Linked DNA regions of Caenorhabditis elegans. The protein of the gene in region 1 purifies or fractionates together with the protein of each later gene. This does not show direct contact. Each region holds a gene or a part of one and is shown on either strand. Other genes may lie near its edges. The genes, in order: R09E10.1 and mam-3.

Region 1 (5,842 bases):
TCACTCGTTTTCTATTTTTTTTTTGCTCTCAACTTATACAACCTCTCGTTGTTTTGTCAATTCAGTATGTGTTTCGTCTGGATCCGAAAAAAAATGAATGTATTATTTGTCATTTCGATCGATATGATGACAAATGCAACAAAAAAATCTTAAAATAAATTGGCTGGAATACAATGTAAAGTTACTACATACCTACTTTTAAATGAAAACGACAGAAAAATAACAAATTAAAAAAATTATCGGTGCAAAATTTTACTGTTTCATGTATATTATAAGAATTTTCAAAATTTAAATAAAAACGGGCTAATTGTGAGTTCAAACGGATCCATTATTTCCACAAAGCATTATTTTGATAGTTATTTTCAATTGTGGATTTTGAGAATAGGATTTAGAAATTGGAAAATCAACAGTTCAGGTACAAAATTGAGGAATTAAAAGAAATTTATGTAAGTACAATGACAAAATCTACACCGTTTTATGAAGAACATGAAACAAGTCATATTTTACTTTAAAACTACTGTGTATTTTTCTTTGTCAGCAGGCACTGAACACGTAATCTATGTCCAGAAAAAATTGAAGGTTTATGAAAAAATTTTACATATGATTCCGGATAACCTAACAATTGCTCACATTATGCAGCACAGGCAAAGCGGAAAGTGCCCAAAACGGTCCGTTCACGGACCGGGAACGGCTCAAATTTAAGAACAGTTCACGGTTCGATTCCCGGTCCGTCAACGGACCGTAATTGAACCGTAAGGAGACTAAAAAATGGGAAAATTTTTTCACCCTCCAGCTGCCCCTTTTTCTTTCCCAATGCTCCACCGAGCTCCGGTCTTGCTCCAGACCGTCTTCCGGTGATCCTTCGTTGTAGCAATTCTATCTGCCTCAGCCGGGGTTGAACTTGTCCACTGCCTGTCGATTGATTACTGGCCCATCACCTTACCGTTTGGCCGTTCGCGCACGCGAGGAAAATCAATAGACTTCGCATAAATAGCAATCAGCTCGCGCTCGCGCATTTTCTTCTGGTTTTCACGTCTTACACCAACTTTTTCGATTGTATTTTCAGTAGTTTCTGATTCTCCATCTTGCCGTTGGACTTATATGAAAGCGAACGATAACAATTGACAGTTTCGTGTAGTTCAGAACTTATTTCGCATATTTCTCAACATCTACCTATACGTGCTCCATCTACTTGTAATACAGAAATGGTACTTACATATTTCCTCTATTAGTCTTGCATGCAAGACTAATTTTCGATTGGACCGGGTTGCAATACTAATAGACGAAATAAGGTATATGCGTTCTACTTGAATGATACCTTAATTTCTTAAAATACACACGGAACAGAAACGATATGATTCCAGAATGTATTGTTAGTAAAATATTTCATGATATTTCAAAAAATGCTCCTGTTGCTCAGCTGAAGAAGACCAGCAGAGAGAGTGAACGTTGCGTATACACAGTATCTACCCAATTGTGGCATTTCATCTTTTTTATTGATATGTTTATAGGATTACATTAATATAACCTCTTTTACACACAATGTCATGCTTAATAGCCTCAGTTAGATCGCATGCGATTACGGGCCGTGTACGGACCAGTTGGACGGATGATAGACAAAATGGTTGCCCAGAGGAATTTTTTTTCATGAAAATGGAGTTTTTGAAGTGCCTACACTCTCCTTTGGCTAATTTGAGCACTTTTTCCATGCTAGAACCTGAAATTTTCAAAAACAAAAATTTGGTGCCCGGGACGGTTCATTTACGGTCCGTCTACGGGCCGGCGACGGACCGTCTACGGACCGGAAACGGCCCAACTACGGCTCAAGAGCCATCTCGGTCGGTAAATGTGGTTTTTTCTCTAAATAATGCATTTAACGACGTAAAAATGCTTGAATTAGCCAACTGGTATCATAGGTATTAAAAAAAATTCGTTTTCTTAAAATCCATTTTTTCCTCTTAATGACCATTTTTTACATTCCCCGTAGTTTGCCCGTAATTGGTCCGTCCCGCTTTTCATATCCGTAGTTCGCCCGTTAATGGTCCGTTCCCGGTCCAAGATCCGTAAACGGACCGTACCCGCTTTGCCTGTGGCAGAGTGAGTGCAAGACTGAAGTGGTAATTATGAAGATTGATATTGAAACTGGAGAGCACACAGGCTTGGAGCCATTTTTGAGAGAATTCTTTGTTGTTGCCAGTTAAGCCCATTTTATTGAAATGTTTTTTTTTAAGTAACTATAAACCTACTTTTAGGCAAAACGACAGAAAAACGAATTTCAAAAAAAACTTCGAATTAAAATTTTACTGTTTCATGTATATTATCAGAGTTTTCAAAATTTGAAATTAAAATTAAAACTGTTCTATCTTCCTTTAAACACGATTTCAATTGAAAAAAGTCAAGCTTGTTCGCCTGCCTCGCGCCTTCGTTCGCGCCTTCGGGTCTATTTTTTACTGAGAAAAAAACAGATTTTACTGAGAAAAAACAGTTATACTTTTCAGTTCATGTCGAAAAAGGGAATGAAGTTTCTTTCTCGTTTAGAGAAGGAGATCGCCGCCAATCGAAGAACTTGAACTTTTTTAGTAATTCTTTTTTTATAAAATGAATGTTTGGTTGGAATAATGAACTCAGAGAATATCAAATTTCAGTTTCATAAATTGAACTTACTACAAATTAATCTTTGGCATTTGAGAGTAATCATCCGCCATTGACTGATTTCTTTGATTCGAATCTTCTATTTCGGTTCTTATACTTTTCAAGAGTTATATTCAAGTACTTTGTTGTCGTTTTGAAAGTCATAGACCACATTTTAACACTAAAACTACAATTATCAAATATACAATCTCGATAATTTTTTTTTGTATTTTTCTAGTCCAAATAGAGCTTTTTACGTAGACAGAAATACAAATAACAATGTGTGGAACTAAAAGCAATGTGGATGCAATACTAATAGGTACATCACCGTAGTTTTCAAACAAGACAGAAATCGCTTTAAAAAATTGGAGGCCGTTATATTTTACATTTATTGTCTATTATCAAAAATCTTTCCAAGAAAAAGACAGAAGAATAAAGCAATGATTTTCAAAAGTAACACCTTTGGGTGTTTACAGCAAAGTGGGCCACCTGGCACTTGACTACATGAAGAAAGTTGTAATTTGATTTGTTTTCTTACATTTCTGAATTACTATTTGCATTAAATAATTCTTGAATAATTTATGAACGTGTTGTTCCGGATAATGATATATATCCTCTTTTACGTTCATAGACGAAATTCAATTTATTGCTAACAAATTAGAAATCGATATTCAGATTTCCTGGAGTCAGGTAAGCTAAACACAGGGTTTTTAAAGGAAAATGGTCATGTTTTCTAGAACACAAATGACAAGTCCTGATGAGCACTCACCGGAGAAGAAAGATTCAGAAAACGAAGTGGTGCCGGCGGGGCCAAAACAAAAGGCAAAGTGTCTTGAGAAGGAAACCAAATCTCCGCCGAAACCATCAGATTTATCGAAAGCTGAAAGAAAGGAAAAGAATAATAAGACTGCAAGAAGAGATGTGAAGAGTTCTCGAGGAAATGTGAAAACCATGAAGCCATCTGTTGTTAAAGTAGAAGAACGATCGTCTCGATCAAAGAAAAGTATTCGCGAAGGAAAGCTGAAAAACTTCTCCCTTCCGTATGTATTTTACTCGACACTTTTAGATGTTTGTTGGAAAGGAAGCCGTCTTTCTGGCATGTGCTAAATTATATAAATATTATGAAATGAATTCCACTGGCACAAGTTTATGACGTGGTAGAAAATTGGGTATCCTTGCAATTTTTTGAATACTCTATCATTCTAGTTCATTAAAACAACTGGATCACTGATTTTTCAATCCATAGTATGGATTGAAAAAAAAAGGATTCCATACATGAGAGTCCACGCGTTGCCAAAATTACAAAATAACAGTAAATTGAATGTTTTATTTTAAAAATGAAATATTTTACGAATTAAAAAATCACGTTTTTAGTTTTGATCTCACTGTATTAGTTTTGGACAAGCAAGGCGGGGTCAGAATTTACTTTAATACAAAAAATTTCAGGAAAGACGAACCCGAGATTACTGCTCTGCAACTTGACGCCGAACTTACAAAGAGTGCTCGTTTGATGGAAGAATACAAGGTTTGAATGCAAATTTACTTTCACTCTATTTTCTAACTTTTGGTTTTTACAACAAAATTATTCCAAAGAAACTCATAAAACCTTGCTAAATTTCAGATTGCCCTTGAGCAAATCATCACAACACTCGTAAGTATGATGAGACGTGGAAACGGGACGGTTGACATGGAAGTAATATACATTCTACTTGAATTATTTCGCTCAACCACACGTATTTTAGAACATTGTAAGCGACAAAGGACAAACGGCAGCGGAGAAGCTGAACAAGGAAGTACAGTTGACTCAAAACTATTGGAAAACGGACACAAAGTTGCAACCAGCAATGAACGATGCAATTGCAAAAAATACTGTCGTTCTGGCAGCAGCTGAGAGAAATTTGCAGACTCAAGGGCCCCAACATCTCAAAAGAGTCAAGAAGTTTCTTTACGGTCAATATCCGAAGGTTTGTTATCAGGAATCAATATTCAAAGCTCTAGTTTCTTCAGAAGTTTTTCATAAATGTAACCATAAAGTTTCACCTTTCAGTATGTGGATATGAAGAGAGACCTGCTGAAAATTGTCAAACAGCAGAAGCCCGAAGCCCAAAGTGTTCGCGATGAAAGTGCTCAAGCGATTTCGAAGTTCATCAAGGAAAAGTATGTGAATGCCAAAATATATGCATCTCGGAGAAATTCAAAGTGCTTTCGGCGAGTTGAGCGTTAGTTTGTTTGATTTTAAATATTATATTTAAACACAAATTATCATTTCAGTTTTTCCATCGTACATCCGCTTTTACTTGGCATCAAATCGCTGAACGACAACCTCCAAAGTCTTCATATCACGCCGAGAACTTCGACTTTCAACAGTTCTTCACAGCACCTCCAAAAATGTAAACTGTGACGTCACCAATAATTTTTTATGATGATTTATGATAATAAAGTGAGAGACGGAGAGAAATTTGTGTGTATTCAGAAGGAAAAAACATAAGTAAATACAGGAAAGAAGAAAAAAAGAATATATATTCGATTTTTTTAACGATATCATTGAATTTCTGATTTTTCAATTTTCAAAGGAACATTGGATAGAACAAACTATATGATATCTGGAAGACCAAAATGTGACATCATATTAAAAGTAATGAAATAGGCGGTAGGCACATAGGCAGGCAGGCGTGCAGTAGGATCACGAAAAAAATACAGAAAATCGGCGACATGCATGAAGGCAGGCATGTTGGCATTCGGCAAGTACGAATGGTAAATAAAATACTGAAAACACGATGTAGGAATGAAAGCCTAAAAGTGCCTGGATATAATTGAAGCCTCTTTGAAGTTCAGTAAATATACGTTACCTGTAGAATTCAACATTTTGGCCAAGAATTAGTTTAAATTAATATTGGATAGGGCTGCTTAGGCAGCAACCTCACAGCCCCGTAGTAGCACAGTATTAATAACATCCCGTGTCAATTTTCATAAAACTGAATATAAATTGGGTTGATGTTGCTAAAGGGCTGCGAAAAACTGAACTGGGATGAAGCTGGGCTGCAAAGGGCTGCGATGGGTTGCGACGGAAAATAGCTACAGTGCTAAAAGGGGGCTGATCCCAGCCCCTCAGGACAAAGCTCATACCCTTCGCCCTTCGCAGTACAGCTTCAGCCCATTTCAGCCCTTTACAGCCCTTTAGCAACATCAACCCAATTTATATTCAGTTTTA
Region 2 (5,130 bases), 3.1 Mb from region 1:
ATGAAGAGTGAGGCATTGGATTTTTCTGGATGTTCAGTGAAAGTTTAAAACTTCTCTAACAAATCTAGTTTTATTTTGAAAAATTTACAGAACAAAATCTTTTAAAAAAGGATTAAAAATATCGTTTTTTTTGCGCGCCAATTTGATTTTGACTGCTTCATATCTCGAATAACTTTAAAACTTACGTGATTGCTGGCAAATCTTTCCGTGATATCTGATATGATCAATGATTGCCAAACTTCCAACAGTATTATCTTTGAGATCAAATGCTCGAATTCCAATTCTGAACGGTTCCTTAATCGGCGGAATCTCGACACGACATTCCTCATTGGCGGCTCCCAAGAAATCACACTTCATTTTTGGTCTGAGCAAGACTTGAAGATGACGTCTACGATTCATTGCTCGAAGGATGATAACTTCCACTTGAGCATTGTTGTATAGCCAGAAGCTAGAAGGATATAACTGGGATTATAATTTTATTTTGGAATCTATGTTAGTTAGAGCACAGTATTTTGCCGATCGCATACTTTGTGAGCTTTTACTCAGGCAACTCAAATCTAATATGAAAATATTAAATAGCAATATTTTTGTAGTAAAAACGAGAAATTGTGCGTCATATAAAGATTACTAAAAATTTCGATTTTTTTTTTTTATATCAGCATTTTTCAAACTATTGAATCATAGAAGAACGCTTAGTTCGTTTTTTACATATTAAAAAAAATGCAAAGACAGTAGAGATCTAAGCTTTCAAAGAAGAGCAAACACATTTTATTTCAAAAAAAATTTAGGCCCTCCAACTTTGTGCTTAAAATTCTTAAAATTATCTTTGACAATACCTGAAAGTCAAGTTGGCAAATCCTTTTTGACAAGCAATTGGAGCACTGCTCAACACTGCTCCATTCGGATTTTTCGTCGTATTTCCAGCAATTATAAAATGTTCGCCTTTTGGAATTACAGGATTTCCGGGCTGGATTTGAACTGGGAAAGTTTTCTCGTCATTTTTCTGAAATTGTTTAATTTTTTAAAAAAGTTTTGAAAAATTGTAAGTATAGAATTTATAGATTTGTCTAACAAAATCGTCAAAAAATTTGGAACGCTTCACGAATTTGCGTGTCATCCTTGCGCAGGGGCCATGCTAATCTTCTCTGTATTGTTCCAATTTTAGTATATGTTCTCGGAAGAACAAACATTTAGATTTACATTTCAATTATATAGGGACCATTAACAATGCAGCTGGCATATTTGGAGTTATGTAAGACACTATACCAAATGTAGATGTAGATCAATAATTTGTGCACCTATTCTATAGCGATACCAATATCGATTTGCATCTCCACTTCCCTAGCATAGTCATAGTGTCTTACATAACTCCAAATATGTCAGCTGCTGTGTAAATGGTCCCTATATAATTGAAATGTAAATCTAACTGTTCGTTCTTCCGAGAACATATACTAAAATTGGAACAATACAGAGAAGATTAGCATGGCCCCTGCGCAAGGATGACACGCAAATTCGTGAAGCGTTCCAAATTTTTTCTATAATTTTTGGTGAACTTTCCAATGGTTCTAAAGTTGAACTGTATAATTGAATTGTCTGAATAAATTCTCGAAATGTTGCCACTTTCAATCGAGTTTTTGAAATGTTTTTTTTTTGAAACTTTCAGTTAAAACTAGTTCATAAAACCAATTAGTTGCCAAAATTAGTTGGTATCTTTTACATATTATTCGTCTCAAAACTGAAAGCTAAATATTGTATATTATACCCTGGCCTACATATAGCGTAGGATATGGAATTTCACATACATTTTTATTTCTAATTGAACAATTATACCACATTCAAAGTTTGTATTCAGCGAAATCTATAACTGAGATCGTGACAAGACCCACTCAGAAAAGGTTTTATATTCCAAAAAAAGAATAGAATGGCACAAGACATTTGAAGGAAAGTTTTTCATGAATAACAAACCTTAAAATACCACCAATCACTGGTATCCAAAAGCTTATCAGTCGGCGCATTTCTCCAAAGACATTCGGTCTCAAAGTCACAGTTGAGTTCATCAGGTGACTCAATATACGTGGCAAATCCAACGGCCTCTGAAATCCACGTGATTGTGGTTTTTTTTTGCAGATCCTCGTGGTTTGATAATTTTAGCTGTTTAAAAACAAAAAAACACTTCACATTAAAATTGCTTATTTATCACTAATTTTTAAGAACGAATCTAAAACCAGATTTTTTATGAAAGTAAAAATCGGCTGATTTATTGTTGTTACATACTTTTGTTACAGAAATTAGCGAAATATTAGCGAAATCTGGATAAAATACCGTAATTTTACTACTACTGTACTACTGTAGATTTTGAAGTACTTCATTAAAAGCTCACGGAATTATTCAGACGGGCCTCGGCGCGCAAAAAAGTTTATGGTAGTTTTATTTGTTCATTGGATGTAGTATTGTATTTTTTTTCAATGAAATCACATGGTTTTCAGCTGTAATAAATCGTTGACAATCAGTTTTCAAAGTTTAAATAAAAATTAAACTACCGCGAACTTTTAATTCCGTGCGCCTTTAATAAGGAACTACAAAATCAAGTAAATTTCCGATAAAGCTTAAATTTTTGGAAAAAAAAATCTCGTCAAAATTCAGAGTAAATCCAAAAAAAACTGGAAAATGTTGAAAAAAACATTTTTAAAAAATCGGGATGTGGCCATAAATTATTGAAAAAAAATTGAATTTTTCCAAAAAATCGAAAATTTAGACTTTTTTCGTTCGGAGCAAAAAACAGTAAATTCCTTCAAAAAACCAAAAAACCAACCTTCCACAGGAATCTCTCCATTATTATCTGGCCTAATACCAAGATACAAGTCTAAATATCGAAGCTCTTTTTGAAATTGAGCATGACATGCTTCTAGAGATGGTAGAAAAATGAGCAAAAGTGCAAATTTCTTCCAGATCATTATTTTCGAGAGGCAAAAAGGGTGTGTACAGGCGAAGAACAATGGCAGATGCGCGGGCCAGGAGAAGCAGGCGAGAGGAACGAACCGGCTTCCGAATCACTATTGATATGGAGAATAGACGGGTTCGTTATATCATTTGATCATTCACCGAATCCCCATTCAACCTGAGAGAGAGAATGATGGATTTCGGAATCAATCAATAATTTATTTGGACCATATTTACTATTAAGTTTTACATAAATAAAATTGAAAGGAAAAAAAAAACATAATTTCGGTATCACAGAAGACAGTGTGGTTTGAACGAAATGGAAAGAGTAGGTAGGGATACAAAAAAAACAGGAAGAAAATATTTTGCCAGCAAAATCACGGCGAATACGATATCGTAGATTTACAAGATCTCTGAGATGTCTTCTTAAAGGCGCACGGTTTTATGGGTCTCGGCGAGCCCAAAAAAATTTTTATGGTATTTAATTTTGTTTATTTTCTTTGCATTTATCACATAAGTTAAAAATTGTTTTAAATCAGTTTGAGAAAAAAAAACAAGAAAGCCGAAACATATCTGAAAAAAACCTGTGCGCCTTTAAGAAGACACTTAAAAAATCCTGCGAAAGTACGGTGTATGCGTTATAAATTAAATATTATACAGGAAACCTATTCGATTTAAAAAAAGAAAAGTTGATTGGAAGTATTACATGTTCTATGACAAGATTGACCCCCCAAAGAAAACAAAAAAGAAACCCGATTTTTAGTAATCCCACAGCCTTATTACTCGTCCTCATCATCTGTCACTGGCTGTTTTAGGTTTCGAAGAAGGCGTCGGTAGGCTGACATTTTATTGTGTTGATCAGCGAGAAGCATCAGAAGTTCTTCTTGTTCTTGTTTCAGTTTTGAAAACTCTTCGGAGTCAGCCTGAAAATTTGAAATGTTTGAATTATTTTCACTGAGATAAAGCTCAAAAGCTACTCATCGAAACGTTTTTATTTTAGTTTTTTTCCAGAGAAAATTGAAAAAAAAATGAAAAAGTGGATGAAAAATCTGTAGCAAAAAATAATTTCTTCAGAAAAAATCGAACCAAAATTTAAAAGTAGTTTTTTGAAAAACGAAATAATTAATTTTTTCATAGAAAAATTATATTTTAAGTGTTTGATATTTTTAGAATTTTTTATTATTTTTTCAGCTTTTTTCAAAAAAAAAATTGAAATTTTATCAAGTTTTGCTCAAATTAACCTCAAATATATAACTATTTTTATATATATATATATTTTTTCCTTCTTAAAAAAAAGAAATCTGTTAAAAAATCAAGGTTTCGAAAAACTGAAATTTTACACATTTTTTCGATTTTTTAATGAAAAAATCGATAATTTTGGTAAGATTTTCCATCTTTTCCAATAAAATTATACTTTTTCAGTGTTTTTTCTAGAAATTCCTGAAATTTCGAAAATTCCACTCGAATTCTACCTGTGGTTCGTGCTCCACAACTATTCCATTCGAAATTGGCTTCAAATTCAATTGCTCAATTTTATAATTGGCTTCAGCGAGAGCAGCTTCCGTTTTCGCGAGTCTATCTTTAAGATTTGCATTCTCTGATGTATAGTGGAGCATCTGAAATATGTAAATTTTATTTTTATGGTTATTTTATTTTTTTTTGGTTATTTTTTTTATTTTAGACCAAACGGAAGCCGAAAAAAAATTTTTCGAATAAATTTAAGCATCGAATTGTTTTTTGGTTTTTTTTGATTTTCGCAGATTTAAATGTTTAGTTTTTTGATCCAATTGTGTCATTTTTCGATTTTTCGATTTTCCGGAAAATCGAAAAAAATTTCCGAAAATTAACCACAAAATATGATTTTACAAAATCAAATTTTTGTTTTATTGATGAGAAAAAAAATAAATATTTTCATCAAAAAAAGAAGAACCCTGACCAAAATTTTAAGCTAATTTTTGAAAAATCGACAAATTTTTTTTTCGAAAAAACGAAAATTTTCGATTTTTCGATTTTCTGATAAAATCTCCTGTCTACCATACCGTTTGTGATTGCTGTTCGAATGCCTGATATCCAAATCCGAGTTGCTGCTCCAACTCGTTGACTTGTTGCTGAAGCTGAGCCAATCCCGTCTCTACACCATTCGGAAGCTGTGCCAACTGATAGGCTTGCCATTGTTGAGCCCATTGCTTG

The links.
Region 2: the proteins of R09E10.1 (region 1) and mam-3 fractionate together in Caenorhabditis elegans (co-fractionation; one large-scale study listed by BioGRID). This does not show direct contact.

What each region holds. Positions count from the first base shown.
Region 1 is NC_003282.8:10,318,587-10,324,428, reverse strand, and holds R09E10.1 (LEDGF domain-containing protein), read left to right. Parts: upstream 1-1,678; 5' UTR 1,679-3,375; coding exon 3,376-3,671; intron 3,672-4,077; coding exon 4,078-4,156; intron 4,157-4,252; coding exon 4,253-4,324; intron 4,325-4,373; coding exon 4,374-4,595; intron 4,596-4,678; coding exon 4,679-4,850; intron 4,851-4,902; coding exon 4,903-4,946; 3' UTR 4,947-5,090; downstream 5,091-5,842.
Region 2 is NC_003282.8:13,442,313-13,447,442, forward strand, and holds the start of mam-3 (MAM domain-containing protein), read right to left. Parts: upstream 3,064-5,130; 5' UTR 2,955-3,063; coding exon 2,813-2,954; intron 2,094-2,812; coding exon 1,966-2,093; intron 1,535-1,965; exon of another isoform or gene 1,433-1,534; intron 1,190-1,432; exon of another isoform or gene 1,072-1,189; intron 1,004-1,071; coding exon 837-1,003; intron 449-836; coding exon 186-448; intron 1-185. Other genes in the region: uso-1 (Uso1_p115_head domain-containing protein), read right to left, coding at 3,720-3,863, 4,413-4,556, 4,980-5,130.